Mus musculus: one gene and its partner. The protein of the gene in region 1 purifies or fractionates together with the protein of each later gene. This does not show direct contact. Links are inferred from orthologs where the notes say so. Each region holds a gene or a part of one and is shown on either strand. Other genes may lie near its edges. The genes, in order: Knstrn and Prpf19.

Region 1 (3,809 bases):
TGGTGAAGGTGTGGCCTCAGTTGCAGTTGACGGCTGTCGGCTTATATTTGTTAAAACCTACTTTAAAAGTGTGCTTAAATACTTTAACCTCCTTTCTGGCCCACCACTCAACAGAGCTAATGGAAAGGAAAGGTTAACAGGGCAAAGGAGGATGTGGACCTGTTTAGAAAGAGTTCTTTGGATGAATCCAATCTTGGTTGTCAGGATATCAGCAGCTCAGTTTATATGAATCAGCAGCAGTCGCTCAACTCACTTGCAAACACCACTCATGAACCAGCAGTGGCAGTTTGATCCAGAAAAAAAACCTGCAAGGCTCTGAGAACTGGCCCATGAGTCCCCAGAAGCAAGAACCCTCTGGAACACCACCAGAAGTTCTTTGGTACATTTTTCTCTACGATCAGCAGAGAGTGGCAAGGCGAACCAATACCACTCAGCATCAGCCAACTGTCTGTTGGGTTATCTTTATACCCTTCCCAAACATCACGTGTTCTCTCAAGCATCTGTTCTAGCAAAACATCCCATGCCTTTTTCCCAGGCAGCTTCCAGAAAAGCACCATGTGTCTGTTCTCAGCAAAAACACCCTCTCATATGGCAGTTTCCAGAAAAACAAGCCTATGGGGGGCCAGGGAGTGGAAGGTGGTTTAAATATGCTTGGTCCAGGGAATGGCACTATTAGGAACTGTGTCCTTATTAGAGGAAGTGTGTCACTGTAGGAGTGGGCTTTGAGACCTGCCTGGCTGCCTGGAAGCCAGTCTTCTGTTTGCCTTCAGCTCCTCCAGTGCCATGCTTGCCTAGACACTGCCAAGCTCCCACCTTGATGATAAATAGACTAGGCCTCTGAACCTGTAAGCCAGCCCCAATTAAATGATGTCCCTATAAGAGTTGCCTTTGTCATGGTGTCTCTTCACAGCAATGAAACCCTAAGACACTGTTCAACATTGAAGGAAGTCAGGACAGGAACTCACTCGGGACAGGAATCTGCAGGCAGGAGCTGATGAAGAGGCCATGGAAGGACGCTGCTTACTGACTTTCTACACATAGCTTGCTCTGCCTGCTTTCTTATAGAACCCATGACTACCAGTCCTGGGATGGTCTCACCCACAAAGGGCTGGGCCCTCCCTCATTAATCTTTAACTAAGAAAATCCCTTACAGGCTTGTCTATAGCCTAATCTTATGGAGGCATTTTCCGAGTTGAGGGTCCCTCTTCTCCAGTGACTCTGGCTTGTAGTGATGTAAGACTAGCCATAGCCAGCACATCCTACATCCCTGGTTGACCTAGGATGGCCCTGAACTTGTGCGAATCCTGCCTCAGTCTCCTAAGGACTTCTATTACAGGCATAACCCAACACCTCTACAAAGAAGCCTTTTCCGGTTATGGGGGCTGCTGAGATGGCTCAGTGGTTAAGAGCACGCACTGCTTTTCTAGAGGACCCCAGTTCAGTTCCTAGCACTCACATCAGGCAGCTCATAACTGCCTCTGATTCCAGCTTCAGTGGAGGTCTGATTCCCTCCAGGCACCTGCACTTACACACACACACACACACACACACACACACACACACACGTAAACATTTCAAAAATCATGTCTTAAAAAGAGCTTTTGGGCTTCCTGCTAAGACTACTGCTCAAGATGATGGTACCACTGATCCTTCCCCTGATGGTGGTGCAGTCTTAATCCCGAAAGTCCTCTCAGGTACAGGGTATGGTACCCAGACTTAGACACATCACACAAGCCTAATGTGACTGTCATCTACACCCACAATTGTGAGCCTCCACCCTCAATCGACCCCATGCTCACCTGTTTCTGAGGTTCCTCCTGCTGGCAGTCTCTGCCGCTTTCACCTGCCTATGGAAGCAGAATCAAAGCTCATCAGAGAACCACAGTAGTTGGTGCTACAAATAAGGTGCAAATAAGGGCTTGGCTTCTTTGCTGTTTTGGGACAGGGTTGGAAATTCCAATCCTCCTGCCTCAGCCTCTTCAGTTCTGGGAGTGCAGGTGCATGCTATCACACCTAACTTAAGATAGTTGAGTTTCTGAGGAAAAAAACCAAAGAGTACACCCCAGTAACTAGCGAAGGCTGAGAGCTGAGCATGCGTGCTGGTTTCACCCCAACAACCGACAGACCTGAGCTTGCTTTGGATATTATGACTATCTCATGTCAACCACATTCACCTGGAAGAGGGTCACTGCCTAGAGTCACATGTACATGCTAGGTCCTGAGGCTGGACCCCGCTCAGGCTCAGGCCTATGAATAAGGCTTACAGTCGGCCTCACCTTTTAGGCTATGACTGTTTGATCAGATTATTTTATGTGGATGGGTGTTTTTCCTATGTGTGATATATATATACACACACACATATATATCTCACATCAAATGTGTGTGTGCCTGGACCCAAAAGAGGTCAGAAGAGGACACTGGATCTCTTGGAGCTAGGTTAGAGATGGATTTCAATTACCATGCAGGTGCTAGGAACAGAACCAGGGTCCTCTCCAAGTCAGAACTGCTAAACCATCTCTTCAGTCTCTATTAAAACATTTCTGGTGCTCAGCAATTTCTAGAAAAATCAGTATCTCTCCCTGTCCCTCCACCTGTCTGCTGGACAGTCCACCCAGGCCCTTGAACACACAGGGCAAGCTCTCGGGCTCTCTGGCAAGCTGCTATAACCAGATGCCAGCGATCTACTCTCACCCATTCTCTCGTCTCGATTTGGTGACTTTTGTAACATCAGGCTCTGGCCCTCCTGGATGAAGATGTCTAAGCAAATCCGCTTCTTTGGATTTAACAGGTAGTTTAGAAGTAGCTCGAGTTTGTGTATCTGAAAGGGAAAATAGGAGTGAAGCCACAGCACGACCCACCAGCCTTCTTGCTGTGCCACACAGAGCCCCACTCTGAGCTACCATAAGCCCTCATTTTCATACTGTCCAATCTAAGATAGGAATAGAGGTTGTTTCCAAAGAAAGTCTCTACACCGACTTGCTTCAAAAAATGGAGAGACAGTTCTTGACTCTGCCTCCAAATGCTGGGGTTTGTAGGTGTATTGTTTATGAAACAAAATCACCAATGTTTGATTTACCTATGGGGACTCAGGAGCCAGTCGCTGTGGTGAAAGCCTGCTAGCTCAGAGAGGCAGAGAAAGCGCCCAGCTGGTGACCCAGAGGGAAAAGCGCCTTCTCCTTCTCCACACGGTCTTCAATCCCCTTGACTCGCAGACCCTCCTCTCTCTTCCCTGCCTTTTCTTAACTTCACTCCCTGTCAACTGGTGGCTGCTTTGCTTCTTCCCCTGTCACTGACTTCACTTAACTCTTCTTTACAGAAAGCTCTTGGGTTAAATGTGTGTGCTAGGGCTGAGCCACACCACAAGAAACAGGTTTTTCCAGGTCACACTCTCAGGGGTCACAATGTGAGCAAATATCTCGCAACAAGGCATGCACCAACACACAAAATTCATCGCTCCGAGTGCCTGATGAGACCCCAAGCTTGACAGGCTACAGTTACGTGACAATGGAGGCAGAAGGAAAAGTCCAGCTGGAACTGCCCCTCAAGGCTCCCAAATCCTTTCTCCCCAGACAGCTTCTAGCTGTTTCCTCTTAAGTGTTACCCACTTTCACCAAAATGTCCTCACAACCACTTTGAGACATCTTCATGTTCCGGTGGCTAGGTATATGTCCAGACTTCAGGAATCAGCCACAGGCAGAATAAAAGGAACTTGTCAACTCTGGTCTGTTTCACTGCCCTGGACATATAAACTCTTTCCTCTCCTCTTCCCTACGCCAGGCTCTTGCCCTTCCAGTTCTTGTCCTTTATTG
Region 2 (4,435 bases), on another chromosome or scaffold:
GTTACCATGCTTGCTGTGATTGGCAGGGCTAGGACATGTGGCCATTGCCTCTGTCTGTCCTGATTTCTTAGAAGGTTAGAAAGCTAGTTTTAATTTGCTACCATAGAACTCCATTATGACTGATACCATTTTAGTTTATTTACTTACTCTCAATGTGCCACCAGGCCTAGCCTATTTATTTATTTTACTGTGTGTGCTTGTGTGTGTGTGTGTGTGGGGGGGGTGTCTTGGGGACTGAACTCGGGTATCAGGCTTGGTAGCCGATCTGGTCCGGTCTTTAGTAGAGAAAACAAAAGAAGTTGGCAGGAGGCAGGGAACTGTTATTATAACAAAACACCTGAGGTAGGCTACTTTAAAGAAAAGAGGGTTCTCCTTGCTCAAATTTCTAGAAGCACAAGGTTCAAAGAGAATGACGTGGGCAATGTCTAGGGCCTCTTCCTTGCTGGTGTCACATTGCCATGGAAGTCAACTGGTTCATTTGTGCCTGTTCACTCTTTCTTTCCCTATATGAACTCCACCAGGATTCTTGTAATGTCTTATTCTAAAGATCCCACCTCTACATTCCACAGTTAAGCTAGATAGTAATGACACACACCTTTGATTTCAGCACTCAAAAGGCAGAGACAGGAAGATCTTTGAGTTTGAGGCCAGCCTTATCTGCAGACTGAGTTCCAGGACAGCCAGGGCTACACACACACACACACACACACACACACACACACACACACAAACCCAGTCTCAAAAAAACAAAAACAAAACCACAGAAAAACACCATAGTCGTGCTAACTTTCCACTCTTACTGTTTGGTTGCTTATTGAGACATGTTCTCTCTACACAGCTCTGACTGCCCTGGATTGGAGCTCACTATATAACCAGGTTGGACTTGTACTCCGAGATCTGCCTGCCTCTGAAGCCCAGTGCCTGTGTTTAAAGACTTCTGCAAACACACCCATCAAATTTCCATTCTTTTAAACGTACACATAAGACGCTGGGAACTAAATTCCCTTGAGTTTACAAAACAGACTATATTTAAAACGTAGCAGGCAACGAAGTCATTGGCTTGCCCATATTTCCAGAGCAAGAATTTAGGCAGTGTTAGTTTCTTTACTCATTTGTGCTTTATTTACAGGGTCACATTGTTTCTCAAAAGCCGGCCAAGGAACACAGGTCTCCGAATCATGCCTACAGACTCTCTAAGGCAGACTCTAGGAATCTGCACTTTTACAAGCTCCTGAAAAATCTGTCTTGCACACGACCATTTCAAAGACTAGTGTTCCCTAGGTGACAGCAGCTCCATCTAAAAAAAAAAAAAAAAAAAAGAGCCTTGGCGGTCCCCGCAGCCTCATGGGAAATGTAGTTTCTTCTCTCCTTCCCGCCTCAGGCCTCTTGGAGCGCTCGCCGGAAGAAGCCGAGCCAATGCGGAAACAGCCGAGTGTTTCGAGGCGGGCCTTTTCCTGCTCGGTTGCATGCTGGGAAAGGGCAGTTTCCGTTAGCTGCAGAAGGCTGAGGCGCGCCACCGGCCACCTCCCCACGTGAAGCAGTTGTGCGAGCATCGCCACGCTGGGCAGCTGTCTACCCGCGTCCGAGCGCTCCGGAAGCGGCGGGGGACCGGAAGTGGCCCGCGGAGGCTGCAGAGAACCGGGAACCCTCTGTGAGGCGACTGGCAGCAGCGCTACGACGGCGCCATGTCCCTGATCTGCTCGAGTGAGTGCTGGCTGCGGCGGGAGGCGGGAGCGTGTGTGGCCCCTGTGGCTCGGGCCCTGGAGCTCCCGGCCCTGCGTGCAGGGTGCATTTGCGCAGGGCTGCGCAATTCACGTAGCTGGGAAGAATGACTGTCTCAGGGGTCTTTTGAAACCGGCGTCGTTTTACAGAGCTGAGACAGGCCTGAGCAGAAGTGGGGGGGAGGAGCTGGTGCAGTGAAAAACAGCTCTTGGTGTCAAAAAACCCGAGGACATGCCCAGGATCCGCCTCCAATTGTGATCTGGGCTCTAGCGGGTTTGGGCCTCAGTTTCCCCATCTGCAAAATTGAAAGCATTGCAGTGGGCATTGCTTGGGAAACCTCGCTTAGGAATCGGACTTTCCGATTTGCAGAGATCACGCAGTGACTTCGAGACAGGGCTGGAAGCCAGGTGTCTGGCTTCTAGCCTCGCGCAGTATGACTAATGAAAACAGCGAATGTTTAGAAAACCTGTATTGATTTACGATGCATTTCCAAACGGTGATCTCATTTTATGCTTACAAGAATTGTCTGAAGGGAAATAAAGATCCGTGAGTTACAGAGGGTGTCGGAAGTCTTGAAGAATGGGTTTACCTAGGGGTGTGCGAGGAAGCTAAGCAGTGGAGCTTGGCTCTTTGAGCCTGGATCCATGGTTTTCCCGTGCACTATGCTGTCCTGTCTTGGGGTGTTGTATTACGGCATTGCGGGTGTTCTCCCATATTGTTTACCACGTTACTAGATTCCTCGCCTTCTCTATTTCCCTCTCAGAACGTTGCCATTAGTTCAAAGAAGGAAAAGGAGGAGGGAAATGACAAGCAGAAAAGGAAATCTCATACTAGAGAAATTGCAGTTTGCAAAGTATTTACAAACGATTTGTTTTCTTTCCATCTTTGAGACCACACTCTTACGTGCCCAGGGCTATCCTTCCTCTGGTAGAAGAGGGAAAGCTCCCAGAAAGCTTTAGTCGTCGAGTAGTGTGATAAACCAACAGAATAGGACAGGAAGGCCGTGTACAAGATACGGGTTTTAAATATGGCACAAATCCATACTTAATAACACATGCATGGGAGTCCTGCAAAAATAGGTGATTCTAAGAGAAGCCACGGAGAAGAATAGGAGCTTGAACCTTAGGATGGTGACTCACAACCTATGGGAGGCTGAATAGAATTGTGTGGTGAATAAGAGCTGTTTTGTGATGTGACAAGTCGCTATCTTAGAGCAGCTTTCAGAAGAGTCTGATGTGGAGGTAGCTTCCACTTGTCTGCTAAAGTGAACCAGTTGACCCTGTTTAGGGGAAGGTAGAGAAACAAGTCTGAGAAGGTCAGAGAGACCTTGGTTTTAAGCCTGCTTTTGGGGCCTTCATTTCTTTATTTTTTATTTTGGTAGTTAAGCATGCTCAAGGCTTCGTACTTTGGAATATTCTTTTCTGGGCCCCGGGACTTTTGCACTCATTTACCCTGTTATGATGTTTATCAAGTGTCAGCTTAGTATCTGCATTGTCCTGGAGGTCAGTGACAGCTGTAACGGCCATCTTCAAGGGTACACAGACTATTCTGTCAAGCGCTTAGAATAGAATCTTGCTTGGCATGTAGTAGCAGAGCTCTTTGTTTGCTTGTTTTCATTTTATCAGTACTTGTCACGTTGCTTCGGAATTTCTCCTGTTGATCTGTCTAGGGCTCCCACTGGATGACAGGTTTGAGTTGTGCTCTGTGTGCTTCTCTGTCCATCTCGGTTCAAAAATGAGATGGGCAGGACTTACTGACCACTCTGTACAGTACTGGCACATAGGATCTGGGCAGTTATTATTTATTGACTTTTATTATCAGCAGACCAGAGAATTTAGCTAAGTAGTTGGCGAGCATTGTAGGACCAAGTACGGGCAGGCTTGCTGTCACAGACCTTGCTTCCTGATAGCTGACTAGGAGGACATGGTCTTGTTGGGGCTGACACAATGAAGAATCTCCTCTGCCCACGTCTCCTTTTCTCCTGTGCTCACTCTCACTACCTGTCTTTCTCTATAGTCTCCAATGAAGTGCCAGAGCACCCGTGCGTGTCCCCTGTCTCTAATCATGTGTATGAGCGGCGACTCATTGAGAAGTACATTGCAGAGAATGGCACAGATCCTATCAACAACCAGCCTCTCTCAGAGGAGCAGCTCATCGACATCAAAGGTGCCTGCCCAGTAGCCTCAAGTCCAAGGCCAGCTCAGCTCAGCCTTCACCGGTGGGGGGTGGAGCCAATCTGGTGGAGAAGATGGTGGCTGGGGGTGGGGGTGGTGGGGGAGAGTTCCCTGGGTTCTAGTTCTTCATACCTACTTTGCTGCCTCTCTTGGCAGTTGCTCACCCAATCCGACCCAAGCCTCCCTCCGCCACCAGCATCCCAGCCATTCTGAAAGCCTTGCAGGATGAGTGGGTGAGTTCTGTGAAAAGAATGCACCTCTGGGCTAGGACCTGGGGATTGAAAAGATGGGGCCTCCCTCCTCCCTCCTCTCCCCTCCCCTCCCCTCTCTCTTCTGTGTCTGGGTCTTTGGCTTACATGTATGACCGTGTCTGGGTCTTTGGCTTACACGTATGACCGTGTCTGGGTCTTTGGCTTACACGTATGACCGTGCATTACTTATGTGCCTGGTGCTTGGAGGTGGGAGAGGGTGTATGATCCCTTGGAACTGTAGTTATAAACAGTTGTGAACCACCATGTGGGCCTGGGGAATCAAACCTG

The links.
Region 2: the proteins of Knstrn (region 1) and Prpf19 purify together in Homo sapiens (affinity purification with mass spectrometry; 4 studies listed by BioGRID and IntAct, counting the BioPlex papers as one, with this or other methods). This does not show direct contact. The link is inferred for Mus musculus from reciprocal best matches to the Homo sapiens genes KNSTRN and PRPF19.

The regions. Positions count from the first base shown.
Region 1 is NC_000068.7:118,816,873-118,820,681, reverse strand, and holds part of Knstrn (small kinetochore-associated protein), read right to left. Parts: intron 2,819-3,809; coding exon 2,692-2,818; intron 1,848-2,691; coding exon 1,800-1,847; intron 1-1,799. UniProt on the Homo sapiens protein: Essential component of the mitotic spindle required for faithful chromosome segregation and progression into anaphase.
Region 2 is NC_000085.6:10,893,765-10,898,199, forward strand, and holds the start of Prpf19 (pre-mRNA-processing factor 19), read left to right. Parts: upstream 1-1,466; 5' UTR 1,467-1,685; coding exon 1,686-1,704; intron 1,705-3,738; coding exon 3,739-3,888; intron 3,889-4,052; coding exon 4,053-4,129; intron 4,130-4,435. UniProt on the Homo sapiens protein: Ubiquitin-protein ligase which is a core component of several complexes mainly involved pre-mRNA splicing and DNA repair. Required for pre-mRNA splicing as component of the spliceosome.